3 linked regions of the Mus musculus genome follow. The protein of the gene in region 3 interacts with the protein of the main gene of each other region in a biochemical or structural test. Links are inferred from orthologs where the notes say so. Each region holds a gene or a part of one and is shown on either strand. Other genes may lie near its edges. The genes, in order: Slc22a12, Slc15a5 and Pdzk1.

Region 1 (6,919 bases), on a different chromosome or scaffold from region 3:
AGGACCACAATGGCTGCGGGGGGGTGTCTCGCCATCATGGCATCTTTCGATGCCATATACATTTCCTCCTGCCCTGCCCCACAGTTGTATTGTCTTCCTGCTACAGACAGCTTCCCCAGCCCTGCCTGGTCTCAGGCTAGGCCTGGTGTCTGTAACATCACCAAGCTCCTTCTGTCTGAACCCCTGGCAACCACTGATCCTTGAACCCTTTGGCCCCATGATACCTGATTGTTCCCCTGGAGCCAACTCAGCTGGTTCTGTTTCAGGATATCGATGCTCCATACCAACTTGCTTTTCTCTGTCTCAGAATCAAACCTCTCTCTGTCTCTGTGTCTCTCTTTGTTTTTCTCTGTGTGTCTGTCTGTCTGTCTCTCTCTGTCTCCCTGTCTCTCTCTGTCTCTGTCTCTCTCCCCTCTCTCTTTCACATACACACAGACACACACAAACTCACTTGCTGCACTAAACTGCTCAGTCCTCTGAGCCTTTGGTAGTGGCCACCACACACTATATCCAAGTCTATGTTTATAAAAGTTCCTCCCCTGCAGAAGGACATGCTGTTCCCTTTGAGCAGCCATGGGGAGGAGCCATCTGTTTATACCCCTGGGACTCTGAGCACCTCTGATTTTGAAAGACGGCGGAGGGTAAGGGAATGAGATTGCAGACAGAGTGGTGATTCTCAGTGGCCTGTTGGGCTAAGGAAACAGTGGAGGGGCGAAAGGCATCCTGGGAAGCAGGCGAAGGAGTTAGGGGTAGGAGTCAGGCAGGTAGTTGGAGATCTGAGGCTGGAGATAGGAATCAAGCTGGGGGTCAGGGGGGGAGGGGGAGAAGGTTGGGCAAGGGTGGGATGAGACAGGGTAAAGCAGAGATCTGGGGTCTGCAGCATGCCAAAGGGGCTGAAGCTAGACCCCTCCTGGGAGAGGGAACATGGACTGTGGCCCCAGTTTGCTGCTGGGCCACAGAAAGATGGCATCTGGCTTGTTTCAGGTAAGTTGGAACAGGGGCTCCTGGACTTTGGGCAGCAGTGGTGACCATCTTGAGGGCCTTGGTCCCCAGAACTCCTAGACCCTTTGTCGGCAGGAAAAGGAGTTTTCCATCGTTATCCCCGAGAGTGGGCAGAACTTCTTTCAAGGAGGGGGGCTGCAGCACCCACCATGAATAAACAAAGAAGAGGAAGAAGGGGGCAGAGACAGCCAGCTGTAGCATCCTCCAGCTGCGCACACCATAGGCCACAGAACCTGTCAGGACCTGCCCAAAGCTGAAGCCCAAGGCGTTCAAGGTCATCACCAAAGGGCTACCCTGGGCTGATGTCCACTCCATCACTGCAAGGAGCAAGAAAGGGGTCAATTCTGGGTCCTGCATGCAGCCTTCCCGACCCAGCACCAATCAGGGGACATACAGAGACTGGCTGTGTTCATCATGACACCTGCCACTGCAGAGGCCAGCAGGAAACGAAACAGGCAGTAGAGGGGGAAGGTGGGCATGAAGGCAGCTGCTGTGCCGGACACGGACACCAGAAGATAGCTCCAGGTCAGCACCCTTCTGCGCCCAAACCTGTGGTACACATAGGAAGACATGCCATTGGCCAGCAACACAGATCTGGGCCACCAAGGGCCCTCCTGTCCCTGCCCCCAGTGAGGAGGAAGGTAGAAAGTCACATGACCCATGTGAGGGCCATGGACATGAGGAGCGTTAGCAAGTGAATTCCCCCTTAGCAGAGGCAGGAAGCAACAGCTCAAGTGTGTGGCAGAGAGAATTTTAGGAATGAATATTCAGAGCGAAGCAGTGGCCCCACAATCCCGGAGAAAGTAGGGGAACTTCTAATTTGGAAAGGATGTGGGGTTCACTCAGTAGAGACCGCCTGGCCCAGCGGGGAACACTCACCTATCTGAGGCATGGCCACACACTGCGGCTCCTACCAGGATTCCAGCCAGGAAGATGGACTGGGCCATGGGTCTCAGGGCCTGGGAGTTACATACCAGGTCCCACTGGAGGGAAAGAGGGGCAGAGCTGTGATCAGGAGGGGCATGGCCTGGGCTGTGTGGGGCCACGAGGGCGCCCACAGGCTTAGTGGCTTGGTTTCTTAAGGAGTATCCTGTCAGCCCTATACTGCGTCAAAGGTGGAGAGCCTCCAGCTTCATCTGCTCCCTCTTGAGCCTTGGCCCGTAGCTGAGGAGCCTTCCCTTCGCTGGAGGCTTACTTCCTCTTGCTCCTCATGCAGGGTCCTTCCTGCTTGCTGGGGCAGCTGGCCCTCTCCACTGGCTTCCCCTCCCTCACCTCTCTTTTGGTTTTTCATCTCAAGACAGAGTTCCCCTGCCTGGCTGTCTTAGAACTCACTCTGTAGACCAGGCTGGCCTCAAACTCAGATCCTCCTGTCTTTGTCTTCTGAGTGCTGGGATTAAACATACACCACCACCACCTGGCTCCTCGTCTTCACATGCACGTGCGTGTGCGTGTGAGTGTGCGTGTGTGTGTGTGTGCGAGAGAGAGAGTGTGTGTGCGTGCATGCCTTTCCATGGTGTAGTGCTTGTGAGGGTCAGAGTTCAATCTCTGGAGCTGTCTACACTGTTTTTGTGAAGAGGTCCTTCAGTGACCCTGGGGCTCACTGGCTAGGCTGGCTAGCCAGCTAGAGCTGAGCCCCAGGGGCTCCCTTGTTTCTGCCTCTCCAGAGCTGGCATTACAGTCCCACCACCACTGAGCCTGGCTTTTCCCCCCAAATGCTGGAGAGCTGAACTCAAGTCTTCATGCTTCAACAACAGACAGTTTGCGGATTTATCTCCCCAGCCTGCCAACATCTCTTATAAGAGGCCAATGTTTGTTCAGGTCCTCTGTGCTCAGCCCAGAGACAGACGACAGGATCCTGTGTCTAGGTGGCCTGGAGTCATGGCAGAGGTTCAACTATGGGTAAAGCCATCGGGTGATGTAGAAACAGGAATGGTACCCCAGGCCAGGCTGTGTGGACATACCTCACTGTGTGGCCCAGGTTGGCCTCAGACTCAGGAATCCTCCTGTCTCTTTAGAGATGGGGTCATAGGCATGAACCACTAACTATGACCTTGCAGATGACTCCCGCTGCCCAGTCCCCTGCAAGCCTACATGGCTGCTCCCAAGTGAGGAGGCTTGGGGAGGTGCATCCTTTCTGTGACTGTGACTTTGACCTCCCAGGTGCTGTTACCGTGGTCACGATTGTGGACCTGAAGGTGCTGTGGTCGTAAACCCAGCCATCCTCGCATGGCTCAGTGGCAGCGTCACTCCAGTTGGTGGCCGTGGCGTTGGACTCTGTAAGCTGCCATTGAGGTTGTCGGAAGCGGAGGCACTGGTGGGGTTGCTGGTCAGGACCAGGTGGGATGGAGACGGCCAGAAGAACATCGGGTCCAAGGTCCCCAGGGATACTCGCCTGGGAGGTGCTATTGTCCAGGAGAGGCACCCAACAGCGGTGGTGGGGAACTGCGGCTGAGAAGTTCTCCAGCATGTTCTGGGTGGTGACCCACAAAATGGGGGTCACCAGAGCCACCGTCTGGAAGAGCTGGAACCTGCCCAGCCCCCCCACTCGGTCCAGGAGTTCAGGAAAGGCCATGGGTTTCTCCTGGGTACCACCACGCAGCTTCCACTTCACAGAGGCTGGCCCAGGACCATGGGGTCTTTGTGATGAGCCTGCTTTCCCCTTGGCTCTGACCACACCAGTCTCTTCATATGCATGTCACACAGCCATGTTGCTGAGTCACAGCCAGTCAAGGCTCTTGTGTATCTGCCTGCTGGCTGTCACCATGAGACCTGGAACCCTCTGTGGTAATCTGGAGGCCATGGGAACCTCTCAGCGACACAGCAGAGTCTGGCTCTCAGGAAAAACCAAATTTGAGAAGCAAGGAGGGTGGAGAGAGAAGTCACTCTGGGTAGAATTAAAGTGTGACTAGGAGCCATTTAATAGAAGAGGGTTTAGTAATCATTTCTTCAAAGTTTAACCAGGACAACACCACTGCAGATGAAAGCGGCAGTTTCTCCCACCACCCCGCCCCCATCTTCATGGCCCTGGTTTCTGTTAGGATGCGGCAAGATCTGGACACGGGCTCTGCCACTAAGTGTGTTGGGGCCGCCATCCTTCGGTGCTCCTGCCTGCCTTCCAGGAGACATCATGACTGTACTGTGAGCTAACCCAGGAGAGAGAGGGTGAGCCCTGGTCCTCCCAACCTCAGAGCTGGCCTGATCCTAGCTTGAGTGATGGCGTCCTCTGCTTGAGGATGGTGTGTCACTCAGTCTCTAGGCCTCATTAGCCTTTTGAAGCTGCCACTGTTCCTGCACTCCCTTATTGATTCCCTGTACTGAGCCTCATTAAGCCCTTTTGACATTAGCATATGCCCCTGTACTCTTCAAGACAAATATCCTAAAGTATTGAGACCTCTGTCTCTTTCCCAGGTCTCCTTGTCTTAGGACCCACTTCTTTAGCCTGTAATTACATGGCCCTCTGCCTGGAACGGAGTCACAGTTCACAGGCTGGCAACTCAGCCTCTAGTGTCTCTAAGCCGACTAATTCTGAGGACTTCCCCCTTTGCCTCTGCTCTGCTCTGTCGCCTCCCTGACCTGTCTCCTTCTGCCGCCCCTTTCACCTACTGCCACACTGCAAAGCCTTACACTAAATCCTGCCTTCAACGCCAGGGCCCTGGCCCTCTAGAAGAAGAGCAAATGCTTGACCAGGAGGCGTCTCTCCAGCAGTTCGACTTCCATTTGTAAGATTCCTGGCTCCTGGGAGGGGGAAAGCCTGACAAAGGGGAAAGTGTCCCCAGGAAGCCATGGGAGTGACTGGACAGAACCGATAATGAGGGCTGTGTAGAGGCGGGAGGAGTCTGTGGGCACCAGAGGTACTGACTGGTTTGGGTTCAAGGTAGTTTTGAGAGTAGAAGAGGAAACGCTGTGATCAGGTGGCAGATGATGGGATAGAGATGTCCGTACGATTCCTGACACAGACGTTCTTTTAAAATAAAAGTATTTGGTGTGTGTGTGTGTGTGTGTGTGTGTGTGGCTTGTGTATTTGAGTACAAGTGCCCACAGAGGCCAGAAGAGGGGCATCTGACTCCCTGGAGCTGGAGCTGGCGTTACAGGCAGCTGTGAGCTATAGGATGTGGGTGCTGGAAGCTGAACACTTGTCCTCTGGAAGGGCTGCAGGACATGATCAGCTTCTGAGCCATGTCTCCAGTCCAGAACCTTTTTTCTTAATTGTGTAAAGTCCCAGGTTGCTACTGATGGGTGGGTGGCTGTCCTCCAAGGGGAGTCTGGGATTGCAGTCCCATTGTGTGTGTACCCCTGCAGCTGTCACTGGAAGGCACTGGCCTCATGTGTCAGCCGCTGGAGTGTAGGCTTAGATTTTTCAAAACCTAATTTGATTAATGTTCTTTAACACACCAACCTCCCTTCTAGCCCACCTACCAGAGGTAGAGGAAGAGAAGGGTTAATAGGAAATGGGCTTGTGGATCTCTGTAGAAGTAGTTCTTTGGGGGAGATACAATGCAGTCATTGTTGTCAGGATATCAGCGGTTCAGTCCACTATCAAAACACCAGACACAAATCAGCAGTGGGAGTTCAGTCCTCTCAACAAGCACCGAACACGAGTCAGTAGCAGCAGCAGTTCAATCCAGAAGAAACCGAGAGGCTCTGCTGAGCCGCAGGAGCCCACAGACGCCGCTGGAATGTCATGAGAAGTTCTTTGGCAAGTTACCCTCTATGAAGCCACAGCAAGCGAAGATCAGCCACGTGGTGCGAGGCGAACCAATATAAGAGCTTTGCCACACTATCTGTGGGGTCATAGTTATATTCTTTCTAAACATCACGCATTCCCTCACATGTCTGCTTCAGCGAAACATCACGTGACATAACTGAGTCCCCAAAGAAACCAGAGCTTTCCATTTCAATGGTGGGCAAGAGAGGGTGGTGGCCCCTGAGCTGAAGGTGACACACAGTAATTCTGTCCTCAGTTTAGTGGTAGGAGCTAGTTAAGGCCGCCTCTAGACAGTCGTGGGTGGGTGGAGACGTGATTCCAGCTCTACACTGAGAAGCAAAAAAGAGGATCTGTGGACAGTGAGCTGTTATCACTCTAGGGCTAATAGGTCATTAGTGTTTGCTTTAGAGAAGACAGTATAGCTCACTTCTGTGTAAATGTGGGTTCCCAGTTAGAGCTTGGGACCACAGTGACTAGTAGAAGTAGGAACATTGGTTGGAGCCAAGTCCTTAAGCCCCAGAGGGACAGGCCTTGAGTCTAGGAGGACAGGGCCCAGCTGCAGAAGTGGGTGCTCCTAGGCCCTAAGGGATTGCTCTCTGTCCTGTGGTGTTGGGAAGACAAGGAAGGCTGGTGACATAAGAAGTGAGACAGGCAGTGGGGAATGGGGACATTGCAATTTTGAGTACAGGAGAGACGTGTGCTTTGGAGGATGCAGCTGGTGTCCTCTCAAGACCCGTGGATAAGATTTTGTAAGTAAGCCCAGTGGCCCCTGCTGCCTGGCTCCCTTTTGGATTGGCACTGTCTTAGAGGGTTTGGCCCCATGACCAAAAGCCCTGGAAGTGTGCACACTCAGCAGCAACTGGAAGGGTGTTCCTTTTGTCCCGGATCCTCGGAGTTGAGTCTGTTGAAGAGGACAGACGGTCTATGGATGCCAGGAGATAGGAGGGAGAAGAGGGGTTTGGGGGTTCAGGTTAGAAGGAAGCAGAGGCAGCTGTTGTTGGTCTGGTTCTAATGAGACTGTGAATGCAGGACGGGGAAAGGCTTTTGGGGGAAAGAAAGGTCTGAGAGCATAAGCGAAGAGGTTACACCAGGGTAGACCAGAAGAGATGGGGGGCACTGAGTTGCAGAAGACCTTTGTGTTCCTACTGCCTTAGGCGGCATTAGGCTGTGATACGGGAGCTACACATGAGTTCCTGCTCTTCTCTGTCATTC
Region 2 (6,146 bases), on a different chromosome or scaffold from region 3:
CGTTCTGACAGAGGAAAATGTTTTGTCACAATCTCTGCCCCTGATGTGATTATTCTTCTCCTTCTTGTTCGAATTTGACAGTGGAGAGTGCTTCACCCACGTGGGCTGAGCTAATGTTGGTGATATCAAGTGTTGTTTGTGAAGGCAGCCCCTGCCACCCTTAAGAACAACAGTATAGTTGTCTGCGGAAATGACTGTTTCTGAAACTCTGCTCAAAATTTGTTTTTATTTATTCATTTATATGTATGTGTGTATGTATGTATGTATGCATATGTGATATTTGTTTGTGTGTGTGTGTCTGTGTGGTGTGCATGTACACTTGTGTACTCTGTTAAATAATAAAAATACTTTAAAAGTTAATGCGGGTGGTATACGCTTGTGTTTGTGTCTGCGCATGCCCATGCACACAGAGCAAGAGGAGGAGGATGCTGGAAGTCTTGTCTTATCATTCTCCCATGTATTCCCTTGAGACAGAGTCTCTCACTGAAGCTGAAGCTTACCTACCTAGTCAGCTATGCTGGCGGGACAAGCAGGGAACACCCTGATCTGCTTGTCTCCGCCCATCAACGCTGAGCATGTGTGGTCAGGCCAAACGTTTTTCTTTTGGGTTCTGGGAGTCATACTCATATTCTCACAGTATGTGCTCTTACCTATTGATCATTCTCCAGAGTTCCACAAAGTGCTGGGAATTCCAGGTTGGTAATGATGGGATGAATGCCAGAATTCAGAGTATCAAAGTGGGGATACTACAGACAAGGAAGTCAGCCAAGTAGAGAGATATAATAAGGGGAAATGGCCAAAGAGCCTGGGAGAAAAATCTACCCTCTTCCAGATCCTAGTTATTATTTTTTTTTCTTCAGACACTGTGGTTGTTGTTTTCCTGTTAAGAAACAAGGCAATATGTTGGGAAAACTTTATTGTTAAACTTGTATAATGAAAACACATGTAAAGATTGTTTGTGTATAGGCACAATGTCTGAATTAGGGCTTCACCGAATTCTTGTCAGGGAAAAAGAGAAAGATGTCTCTGTCATTAGCTGACAGAACCAGCTGGGGTCAGACCTGTGGGCTCATGGGTCACAGAAAACATTTTCCAAGCCCTCCATTCAAGTTTCAGTCTTGAACAGAAATCCAGCGTAAGGGGGCTTTTTAGGGAAGACTGGCTTCTGTCCGCCGCCTTTCAGCCGCTTTGTGAGCTGGAGAGAGTGAGCGGCTGGGAGAGGCCCTCGGAGGAAGCGGCTGGAACCTATGATATGCTGCAGGGACACAGGACTTCGCTGCCAGTGAGCACATTATGAGAGAAATACAGTACGGAACGCAGCGGGTTTCTGCAAACAAGGCATCCCTTTAAGTTAATTGGTGTTATATAGAAGCTGAAACGCTCCGCTTATTTACAAAGCTCCAGATTTATGTAAAGCAAAACCAATTACACTTAATGCCTAAACTACTCCAGGTGCTCAGAGATAATGTCGCCAGGCACTAGAGAAGAAACTGCCGTGTGAATGCACCCTGTTCCCAACCGAAGCGTCTGTAGTTACTGCAATTTAGCTAATCACAAGTGTCAACGCCAACCTGCGAGTTCTCAGCTCTTCTGCTGCTTGCTTTGGGTCAATTTTATAATTTCTGATGTTCTTTCATCGCAAAGGAAGAGCGAGAGTGTAATGAACACCTTTTTTTTCCCTCCCCATTACAATGTAGAAATTAAGGAGATGAAGGGACATTTGGGGAAGGGCCAAAGTCGTCCCGGTCCTTTTCTAACAGCCAGAGCACGCTGTGGCTTTTCATTTACACCAAGATGAGGCGTTTGGAACTTTCTTGATCTTCGGGATGTTCATTATGAGACCAATGCGCTAGATACTGCATTAATGAGGCTCCTTTGGGGTGTTCATTAAGCCCAAAACTGCAAGCTTGGCATTTAACCTTTCACAGCGAGGAAAGTTGTAAGAGCAGCAGGCTCAGCCCCACTGTTTTGCCAGGGAATTGTGCAAAACAACGAATAAGTTGTGGGGAAGAATTTCTGCCTATAGAGCTGACTTTATAAACTTGTCCTCCAAACAAAGGAACACATAGCAAGTAGCTGGAATAAGAAAAACGCCTGGGGTTTGACTGCGCTTAGAGCATTTAAAAATGCACATTGTAACCTAATCAAGTTACAATTGGCTACATTTCTTACTCCATGGCTCTAAACATTGGACAGATCAGCAAGAGAGGCATTCAATCACAGTCTCTTGGAATGAACAGTTAAAAAAAATGCTCTTGCCCAATCTAGCCTGGTTCTGGAGAGGAAGTCAAGGAAGGGTGCTGGGAGAACCTTTAAAGTCTGGGCGGCAGTATGGAAGAACTTAGGGTAGCGTCAACAAGACATGCAGTTTGGGGAGAAGACAGAGTCGCCTAAAATAGGAGGCTGAAAACCAAACTTTGTCACATACTGAGGCAAATTGTGATAAAGAGATGACAGGACATTAACTTTATTCAATAATAATAATAATAATAACAACAACAACAATAATAATAATAATAATAATTGTATGGCCTAGAGAGGCATCTGTCTGTATTTCCACTTCTTTGATCATCCTCTGCTACATAGTTAAGTTTGAGGGCAGCCTGGGCTCTATGAGATCTTGTCCCAAACCTGATAAGACCAAATAAAACCAAACCAAACGACCTCTATTTTAGTAACATTGCTTTTAAATTCTGAAGAAAGTTTCTTAATCAAGATATATTTTAGTAGAATGCCAAGGTCAAATATAGCAGAATTCTATACACATTTATTATCTAAACATCATATTACTTATGGTTTATAATACCTAGAATGCAATAAAGCCTTAGTGAATATACAGAAAGAAGAAGTAGAAGCATATTGTTTCTTAGCTTCTAATGACATTAAAATTATAAATAAATCTTTCATATCACCTTCAACTGCTGAACCACTGTAATGATTATACAATATGATTGACACGCTAACATGGAAAATGATTGTTTCCGGTCACAGAGTAATCACCAAGACTTTAAAATCGCTTTATTAGTTCAAGAGCATAATATATCATTAAAAGTCATCATAGTTTATTGGAAGGATCATAATTATTCATTGTAAATAAAGTACACTCTTCTTTATGTTGACTTTCCCAGTGAAACGTATGAAGTATTCGATTGAAGAAGAAAATAGTGGATAACGGGTCTCACAAGAGAATCAAATCCAGTTTCAGAGGGCTGTCTCCCAAAGATCAATACTTGAAGATGCTCCCTGTGTACTGCCATAAAACTTCAGAGACTTCTCAGTGAGGAGAAGAGTTTCTTCACAACGATTTCCACGGATGCGCTGGGCATTAAAATGATTTAGATTACAATATCTGAGAGAGAGAGAGAGAGAGAGAGAGAGAGAGAGAGAGAGAGAGAGAGAGAAAGAAAGCTTTCCTTAGGAGCAGATGTAGATGACTTGATAAATCACGGGCTTCCCTCCCTTGCTTGCCTACCTTTTATGATGGGATCGTAGATACTGGCACCGGAGAGATGATTATTTAAGAGGCTCACCCGGGCAGTCTTTGTACAAGGACAGGAGAGTGCTACCTAGGGCAGAGTAAGGCTCCCCTAAGGCCCTTTAGATGGTGCTCTCTTATTAAGACGAGGTCGTGCCGTGTGGCCCAAGCTCTCTCAGGACTCGATATGTAGTCTAGGCTTGTTTGAACTGGGGGGGATTCTCTGGTTCTAGCCTCTTAATTGATGGGCTTGTAGGATAAGTACACACCATCACGGCCAGCAGGATGGTGCTCTCCTATGAACACCGGTGAGTCTGTTCTGTACTGTCAGCGAAAGAAACCCGGAAATTGTATTGGCTGTGGATCCCATGGCTGCTTGGACCGTGATTTATCTGATAAAAGCTTATCAGATGTGTTATCAATAGTACTGTACTATACTGTATCAGACATCCCATGATGTTGGTGCTAAGATCATTGTTAAAGAGAGAATACTTGGCCACATTTTAAAAATGTTTACCCATTAAAAAATGTCTACTCCAATGTCTTCTCAGACCATGCTACCCTGAGAGGGAGGGATTGTTCCCGTTTTACAGACTAGAAAACTAAAGTTCGAATGTAAATCAATGTCCTTATGGCATACAAAGGACTCAGACAGTACTAGACCTTCTTCCAAACCAAACCTGCTCTGGTGCTTAGTCCCTTGACTTTGCTTGCTCTCACCCCTGTTGTGGTCATTTTTATTCTTGACCACTTCCTTTCCACCCACCCTAAGCTCTTGCTCAATAACCGCAGATCTTCGACTATTTTAGATTGGACACTGATCTTGAATCCCTTTGTACTAATGAAGTTCCTTGGTTCAGTTCGTCTCTTTGGTGCCTGGAACGGTGCTTAACAGGTTGGCTGACTGCATGCATGCATAAGGAGCTGATGAATTTGGATTCCAAGTAAGACTTACTTGAACTCAATCATACTTATAGTCCACTAGACCTAGTCTTGACATAAGTATAAGAGAAGAATAAAGCAGAAGAGAGTGGGTGTGTAAGGCCAAATTGGTAGGCACATTTAGTATTGCTAGTATTCTTGTGTATTTACTCAACTTCAAGCAACCTTGGGATACAGTAAGAGATGAAGACACCAACGCCTAGCTAGGTTAAGGGGTGTGCTTGTGCTTATACTGTCTACTTATACATGATGGAACAGAGCTCGCCAGCTTGGACTCTGAAGATAGCCTTTGTGAAGGACATAGGCTAATTCTTACAGAAAGATCATAACGTAATAACTGGAGAGCTTATAGCAAGGCGGTGGTGCCGCACACATTTAATTCCAGCACTTGGGAAGCAGAGGCAGGCAGATCTCTGTGAGTTCGAGGCCAGCCTGATCAGAGTGAGTTCCAGGACAGCCACAGCCACAGCCACAGAGAAAAAACAAAATGAAACAAAACATTTTCTTTACCAAAAAAAGAGAGACAGACTGTACAGGGGCTTTGGGGAAAAGAGTCAGGGGCTGGAAGGAAAAGAGCACACGTCTTCAACTTCTGTTTTCATGGCTGAATCTGTTTGCTACAAAGCTGAGGAAATCCCCGTTGGACATCCTGAAAGACTCTCTGATTTTCTAGTTTCATTCACAATCTAAGGGCCTGGCATTTAGAGAGATTACAGATTGTTGGAGAGACGCAGGATTTGTATGCTGCTAAGGGTAAGAGAGACTCATATTGAAGGGACTACTTGAGTTTTAGGTCTGGTACTTATCCATTCCTACTTTCTGAGATTCAGTATTTCCCATAATGGTGCAGCAGCTCATAGATATCAGGGCCATAGGATAACACTGAGCACAAGTTAAGTTCTGACTCAACAAGCTTTGGGTTTGCCACACCCATCTGTCACCTGGATGCTGACCCAAAAGACAGAAGCATACAAGACTGGTTTGGGCAAGGGAGAGGTGGCAGTGAGTGGGTCGATCTGTGGGTAAACGCATTGGGTAAATGGAGCCAGGTGAGGGCAATAAAACTAATTCCTGTGATGTAGCTCACATGGAGAGTCGATCTTTCAGAGTTCCATCCCTTAAAACCAGCTGTTGATACACTGTTGTGATTGACATGCACAAAGACTGTGACAGTTAGACAGTTTGCTCTCCGCATATAGCTAGTGTAGGTCAGAAAGAGAGAAGAGAAAGGCAAGGCGATGGTACACAAGCACCCGACTCATGGAGCTTCTCTGGCAAACAGGCATTGAGTGAATGAAAACCGTTTCCATGATCAGAGTCTTTTGCACTGGCAAATTGTAAGACACGTGAGGTTGTGCACAAGGAAGATGACATTACATTATTTTGACAACTTAGGTCAGTGTCCAAGGGATTGTCATCTATTGACCTTGAAATGGCCACTGCTGATGTAAAGGATTGAATGGGACCCAAATCTCTTTGGGTCATTAAAGTCTCAGCCGTTTGTTTAATGATACCTGTTGTTAATGGTACTGACTTATCCTGTAACTCTAAGGTAGTATTATAATAGACAAAGAATACCACTTTGGCATCATAGCATGCTTTAGAATGGAATAAAGCACTCATTTGGTGTGAGAATAGGTGGAAAAGGGCAGTCTAAGGTGAAGTTTTTGTTCAGAATAATCCATTACATTTCTGCAGGATGCTAGTTTGTCTCATCATGGCGAATGGG
Region 3 (6,681 bases):
AATATCTACCAGCCACAGATCCATTCCAAAGGTAATGAAGGGTCCATTCTGTTCATTGATCTGTCGGATCATCTATAACCAAGCTTGTCACAGGGGATTCAGCAGGTACATAGGAAAAAAATGAAGCCGGGTGTGGTGGCACACACCTTTAATCCCAGCACTTGGGAGGCAGAGGCAGGCGGATTTCTGAGTTCGAGGCCAGCCTGGTCTACAGCGTGAGTTCCAGGACAGCCAGGGCTACACAGAAAAAACCCTGTCTTGAAAAAACAAAAAACAAAAAAAGAAAGAAAAAAATGACTGAGATGGACATTCAAGGTTCCAGTGATTGTAAACCACAGAGAGGAAGACAATGGAAGTGGAGGACAGAGCATGCAGCTCTTTCTTTGCAGCATAAACCAGGTCATGTGGTGATGAAAAGTGGGTCCTCCCTTGTGATCCAGACACTGAAAGGAAAGAGATAGGGAGGGAAGAACTCGGACCCCTTGACAGCTGCAGGTGCCTGGAGTGCTCCCAGATTGCTGGTCAGTGTTGTGGTGATGCCGGGCGGGGCGTTACAGCTTCTGAAACTCAACAGCCAAGGTTCCCTTGTTGAGTCAGATGAAACCACCAACTATCTGGGGAAACTGGTTTGTGTTGTATTTGAAGGCCCTCTCTGTAGCCTTGCCTCCCGAGCCTGCTGTACTTTTTGTGCCACGAAAGAGGGTGGCTGCAGCACATTGTCATGAGCAGAGCCTACTGCACCACTGCGCTCATCTCTCTCCCTTCCTCCACAGTTCTTTTATGCCATCTCCAGCAGCAAGTCCTCCAACGTCATCGTCCTGCTGTTAGCGCAGATAATGGTAAGTTTATTGACTGCCTTTGTGTCTACAGTTGTTGAGTGCCCAAAATGTGATTTTGTTGGGGAGGGTTTTTGTTAAAACAAAGTCTACGTGGTCCATATTGGCTTCAAATAATCTATGTAAAGAAGGGTGGCCTTGAACTCCTGATCTGTCTCTGAAGTGCTGAGACTTCAAGCATGCATGCACCACTACATACAGCTTAGAAATGCTTGGGGTTTGGTTTTTGTTTTCTTTGGGGAAAGAGAGGGGTTATGTGTTTATGTGTATACATGTGAATCCAGTTGCCCATTGACTCTCAAAGAGGGTATCTGATCCCAATGAATGTTCTGGGAACCAAAGTTGGGTTATCTACAAAAACAGTACGTGCACATGTAACTACTGAGCCAGTTCTCCAGCCCAGGAAAAAAAATTAAATGGTTTAAGTTGGGCCCATACAATGGCTTGCTCTGTGGCTGCTAAAGGTGGTAGCCTCCAGGCCTGATGACCTGTGTTCAGTACCCAGACCCACATGGTAGAGGAGTGAACCAACCCTGGCAAATTAACCTCTGACTACACACACACTGAAGAAGATGCACGCCAATACACCTATGTGCACAAATAATTTAAGAAATGTTATGTGTATCGGTGTTTTGCTTACTTGTATGTATATAAACCAGGTGTGTGCCTGATGCCATAGAGGCTGGAAGAGGGTGTTAGACCCCTGGGACTAGAGGTACAGGTGGTGTGAGCCACCATGGGCTGCTAGGAATCAAGCCCATGATGAAAACGTAGTCAGCCTTAACTACTGTGCTCTCTTTCCAGCCCCAATAAATAACTTAAAGTTTGCACTGGCTTGCCCCTCAAAACAGAGTAACTTCTGAATTACTTGGCTCGACTTTGCAGGGTATGTACTTCGTGTCCTCTGTACTGCTGATCCGAATGAGCATGCCCCCGGAGTACCGCACCATAATCACAGAGGTCCTCGGGGAGCTTCAGTTCAACTTCTATCACCGTTGGTTTGATGTCATCTTCCTGGTCAGTGCCCTCTCCAGCATATTGTTCCTCTATCTGGCTCACAAACAGGCACCAGAGAAGCATATGGCCCCCTGAACTCAGACTCCCTGCCAACTTCAGGAAAGGAGACACAGTGGGGAGACCAGAGCCTACAGCTCTTTACACAGGCAGAGCTGCGAGTTCTGTTCTGCCTCAGGCACACGCCTACTTCCTCCTGAGATACTGGAGTCACTTCGACTGAGGCACAAGAAGAAAACCCGCAGCATTCAGCAGGGAGCCGCATGGATCTGAGGCTGTGCAGTGAGGAGGAGAGGGCCAGAGCATGAGGATACCCCGGAAATCCTGACTACACGGCTTCCCTCGAAAATGCTAGTAAAGTCAGTTTGTAACACTCTGGCCTTGGGGTCACTTGTCCAGCACAGCTTGGTGTTATGCTATTGTGGTCTGACGTGAAATGCATCTCTCCCCTCACCCAACTTTACCCCGTAAAAATAACCAAAAGGTTGTTTCTTCTTTTCTGAGAAAGGGGTGATAGGCAACAGATAGATTTTACCAAATAGATTTTAGGTATACCAATCTTTATTTCCTCTTAAATTAGAGAAGAGTGAATGTTCCGTGCTAATCCAGCAGTGGCTGGCTCGGGTTGGCTTTCCCTCTGCCTCAGCGCTGGAGGTAGACGTTAACTGGAACAAGCCCTTTCCTGTTCTGAAACATAAGCCCTCCGACAGTAAAAGGAAGGTGTTGAGGTTTTTTTTTAATACTCAAATGTAACATAAGAAAATGCTGAAGTATATTTCCTGGAAGCCTCCCTTTATTACTAAGACCACAGTGTGTATTTTGCATGTTTTGGGCTTCTGGAAGCAAATGAGAAAGCATGAAATGTTTGTATGGAACAAAGACACTATTCGGATTCTATTAGCCAACAGGGAAGTTGCAAACAACTCAGAAGCACTTAGCAATGCTGCTCAGCCACAGCATTGCTACAAAAGCACACTTCTATAACAGGCATCTGCTTGATTCTTTAATTAGCAGCGCTCACATGGACAGTGAATCATCCCAGGTGCTCAAGCCTGCAGAAGGAAGAGGTCTCATCAACAGAAGTGAAAAGTTGCACTTTGGAAGATACCACATAGAAAGACCCTGAACCTGGTCCCTCCTCTGGCTAAGTTGAGCTTAAATAAGCAACCTGCAGTAGCAGCCCTTACAACAACAGACAGTCTGGGGGACAGATGGTCCAGAGGAGGTCTGACGGGGTCGGCAGGGCTCATTCCTCGGAGAGGCAGTTCCTGGGCCCTCAAGAGGAAGCATCATTTGTTCTCTTCACATCTCCGTGTCTTCAGAGTTAGACGAAGAGTGCGAGGCTGTGCTGAGAGTCTGTGCAAAGGAAAAAGACAAGGGTTTACTGCAGCAGGAAAGAGCAAGGCTGATCTAGAGCTGGCATGCCTTAAGTCAGAGAGCCAGGCACCTCTAGATGTAATCCGAATCTTCACTTGACTTGCTTCCAGATTACTGTTTAACACAAACAAGTTTCTCATTGTCTGTGTATATACCAACATACACATAGACCATCAGTTTTCTATAAGGCCAGATTAGTACTATAATTGGCATGACCTATCAGCAGTATTAAATACAGTAGAAAACTATAGTGACTTTTCATAGGAGGCCTGATTCCTATAAATCTCCTTCTATGAATTTGGATGTCAGTTTACTTTTGAAACTCAAATTTATCCATGAAGAGAAAATTGACCAGAAAAAAATTCTTCTGACAAAAATAATTGTAATTCCTGACACTTACTAAACATGGAGTCTAAGCCTCTCTCTCTGTTTTTACTTACTGTGAGCCAGGCACAGTTTAAACACTTCTGAAAACAACTGTACACATTGTCCATGTTTTATAAGTCGGAAATCTGGAGCACAGAGCCAGGAACTGGTCCTGCGTAATCAGGTCAGGTTCTTCGGTGGTCTCCATGATTTTGATAAACTGATTTCACTTACTAACTGCCAACTGCATGCTAAAAAAATAATGACACACCACAAGCCTGGCACTCAGGAGGCTAAGACAAGAGGATTGCAAGTTCTACACCAGCCTGGGCTCCACAGTGAGGCCACATTTCTAAGAAGACAATAAATTTGTCCTCATAATGCCTCCTTTGTCACAAAACCCTGGCAGGTTGGCCACCCTGTGTCACTGGGAAGCATAGGCATGAGGCACTGGCTGGGGACTACCCCAGGGAAGCAGGGCCACCACTCACTCGGTCTTTTGCTGGGTGGGCGTCATGCTCGGACTCCGCAGACGTCTCTCCTTTTTCATCAGGGCCAGCCACCAGGGGCTCGGCCATGGAGGAAACGATGGGGATTTTCTTAGCTTGGAAGTAGCTGTAGGCCATCTTTCCACAGACCAACAGAGTGACGTGCTTCCCGCTGCTCTTGATTCTCTCCACCACTCTGTCGTAGGGTTCCTCTTGCACGTTCTCCCCGTTCACTTCGATGATGACGTCCTCATTCTCCAGCCCAGCCTTGTCAGCAGGGCCACCCTGCTGTACCTGTGAACAGAGGTTCTGAGTCGGTTCCAAGCATGGAAGAAGGCGTGCCGGGCAGCTTCCCTCCTGAACAGCCTCAACACTTGTTAACTGCGCTCCTTTATGGCCTATACACCCTGAACTCCACTGGGCTCAGCCACACTGGCAAAGCACTGCACTGAACATGTGCTGGGCTGAAGGCATCACGCCCCCATCTTAGGATCCCAACTTGGAAGCTACAGGGTGGTCTCATTGCTCTCCCCTACAGGGTTCAGGCACCGTGCACATCCACAGCAGTGGGCAAGGAGCACTCTCAGAGGCGGACTTCCAAGTGTGACCACTGTTAGTGTCACGGAGACTTGTGGCTTGCACTGAAAAAAAAATCCCATCCTAATTGGCTGTTTGCTGAGCTGTCAGAACTAGTCACCATACCTCTTTGACAAAGGAGCCAGGCTGACCCCGAATGGCATTCAGGTGAAAGCCGTAGCTATCGTCCTCTTTAAGCAGCCTGCAGAGCTTGGGCTTGTGACCCTCCGCGTCCTCTGTGGGCTCTGAGCCTGTGGCCTCCAGAGGAGCAGGGATCGGAGCTGGGCCTTCCTTGACAGAACCATTAGGCAGTTCTTGACTTTGGCAGTAAAGAAGTGGAGAGAACCGAGCCTTTGGAAAATAAAGGGGAAAAAATATACATCTGAGCAATTACACGTCACTGAATGTCATGGCTTAATACACAGGGTGTCTCACATGTATGCTCCTCCTCAACAGGAGGAGGGGAGAGTCTAAAGTTTCTTTCCTACTGCCAGAGAAGGTAGAAACGTGCACAGACACATACATGTGCATAACAGAAACAGTGCACAGTTCTGCACCAGACCCCAGAGCTGTCTCATGGTGTTACAAGCTTTTCCCCACAAAGGCAGGCAGGACACTGCGCACTGTCTACACTCCCCTTTGGGAGACACCTTTGAGGGACTACCCCAAGGCCCTGTTCTCCCTGCCCTTCAGTACTAAAGGACAAAACATTTTTGTGATGAGTTTTGTGAGAACCAGCTCTACACACTGATAATGAGAGAGGTGCCCATACGGTGGCACAAGTGAATCCCATCCCCCAGCTTCCGTCTCCCAGGGCTGCTGTTTAATGATCTTGGCACCTCTCGTGGCGGGCTTCCCCCTGTCTGTAAGTATGCTTGGTCCTCTCATTTTCACAGCCAAGGCCGTGTAGGAAGCAATGGCGGCCGTGACAGAGACAGAACGCCAAGCTTAACTCGTTTGTTTTTTATTCTTTTTATATATATATATTTTGTATTTTTATTAGATATTTTCTTTATATATATTTTAAATGCTATCCCAAAAGTTCCCTATACCCTCCACCTGCCCTGCTCCCCTACACCCACTCCCGCTTCTTGGCCCTGGCATTCCCCTGTACGGGGGCATATAAAATTTGCAATACCAAGGGGCCTCTCTTCCCAGTGATGGCCAACTAGGCCATCTTCTGCTACATATGTAGCTAGAGACAGGAGCTCTGGGGGTACTGGTTAGTTCATATTGTTGTTCCACCTATAGGGTTGCAGACCTCTTCAGCTCCTTGGGTACTTTCTCTAGCTTCTCCATTGGGGGCCCTGTGTTCCATCTTTTTTTTTTTAATAAGATTTATTTATTATTATAAAGAACACTGTAGCTGTCTTCAGGCGCGCCAGAAGAGGGCATCAGAACTTATTACGGGGTTTGTGAGCCACCATGTGGTTGCTGGAATTTGAACTCAGGACCTTTGGAAGAGCAGTCACTGCTCTTACACACTGAGCCATCTCAACAGCCTCCTGTGTTCCATCTTATAAATGACTGTGAGCATCCACTTCTATATTTGCCAGTCACTGGCATAGCCTCATATGAAACAGCTATAACAAGGTCCCTTCAGCAAAATCTTTCTGGCATATGCAAATAGTGTCTGGGTTTAATGGCTGATTATGGGATGTATCCCCGGGTGGGGTATTCTCTAGATAGTCCATCCTTTCCTCTTAGCTCCAAACTTTGTCTCTGTAACACCTTTCATGGGTATTTTGTTCCCTATTCTAAGGAGGAACGAAGTATCCACCCATTGGTCTTCCCTATTCTTGATTTTCTTGTGTTTTGCAAATTGTATCTTGGGTGTTCTATGTTTCTGGGCTAATATCCACTTATCAGTGAGTACATATCTAATGACTTCTTTTGTGATTGGGTTACCTCACTAAGGATGATATCCTCCAGATACATCCATTTGCCCAATAATTTCATAATCCATTGTTTTTAATAGCTGAGTAGTACTCCATTGTGTAAATGTACCACATTTTCTGTATCCA

What was found.
Region 1: the proteins of Pdzk1 (region 3) and Slc22a12 form a complex in vitro, tested with the Homo sapiens proteins (2 studies listed by BioGRID and IntAct, with this or other methods). The link is inferred for Mus musculus from reciprocal best matches to the Homo sapiens genes PDZK1 and SLC22A12.
Region 2: the proteins of Pdzk1 (region 3) and Slc15a5 interact in a test that uses a peptide from one of them, tested with the Homo sapiens proteins (2 studies listed by IntAct, with this or other methods). The link is inferred for Mus musculus from reciprocal best matches to the Homo sapiens genes PDZK1 and SLC15A5.

What each region holds. Positions count from the first base shown.
Region 1 is NC_000085.6:6,539,179-6,546,097, forward strand, and holds the start of Slc22a12 (solute carrier family 22 member 12), read right to left. Parts: upstream 3,893-6,919; 5' UTR 3,575-3,892; coding exon 3,173-3,574; intron 1,986-3,172; coding exon 1,882-1,985; intron 1,552-1,881; coding exon 1,397-1,551; intron 1,320-1,396; coding exon 1,151-1,319; intron 1-1,150. UniProt on the Homo sapiens protein: Electroneutral antiporter that translocates urate across the apical membrane of proximal tubular cells in exchange for monovalent organic or inorganic anions. Involved in renal reabsorption of urate and helps maintaining blood levels of uric acid.
Region 2 is NC_000072.6:137,981,149-137,987,294, forward strand, and holds the end of Slc15a5 (solute carrier family 15 member 5), read right to left. Parts: intron 3,350-6,146; coding exon 3,202-3,349; 3' UTR 2,442-3,201; downstream 1-2,441. UniProt on the Homo sapiens protein: Proton oligopeptide cotransporter.
Region 3 is NC_000069.6:96,866,635-96,873,315, reverse strand, and holds the end of Pdzk1 (Na(+)/H(+) exchange regulatory cofactor NHE-RF3), read right to left. Parts: intron 5,019-6,681; exon of another isoform or gene 5,009-5,018; coding exon 4,784-5,008; exon of another isoform or gene 4,376-4,783; coding exon 4,085-4,375; exon of another isoform or gene 3,207-4,084; coding exon 3,153-3,206; 3' UTR 2,390-3,152; downstream 1-2,389. Other genes in the region: Gpr89 (Golgi pH regulator), read left to right, coding at 774-839, 1,722-1,928. UniProt on the Homo sapiens protein: A scaffold protein that connects plasma membrane proteins and regulatory components, regulating their surface expression in epithelial cells apical domains.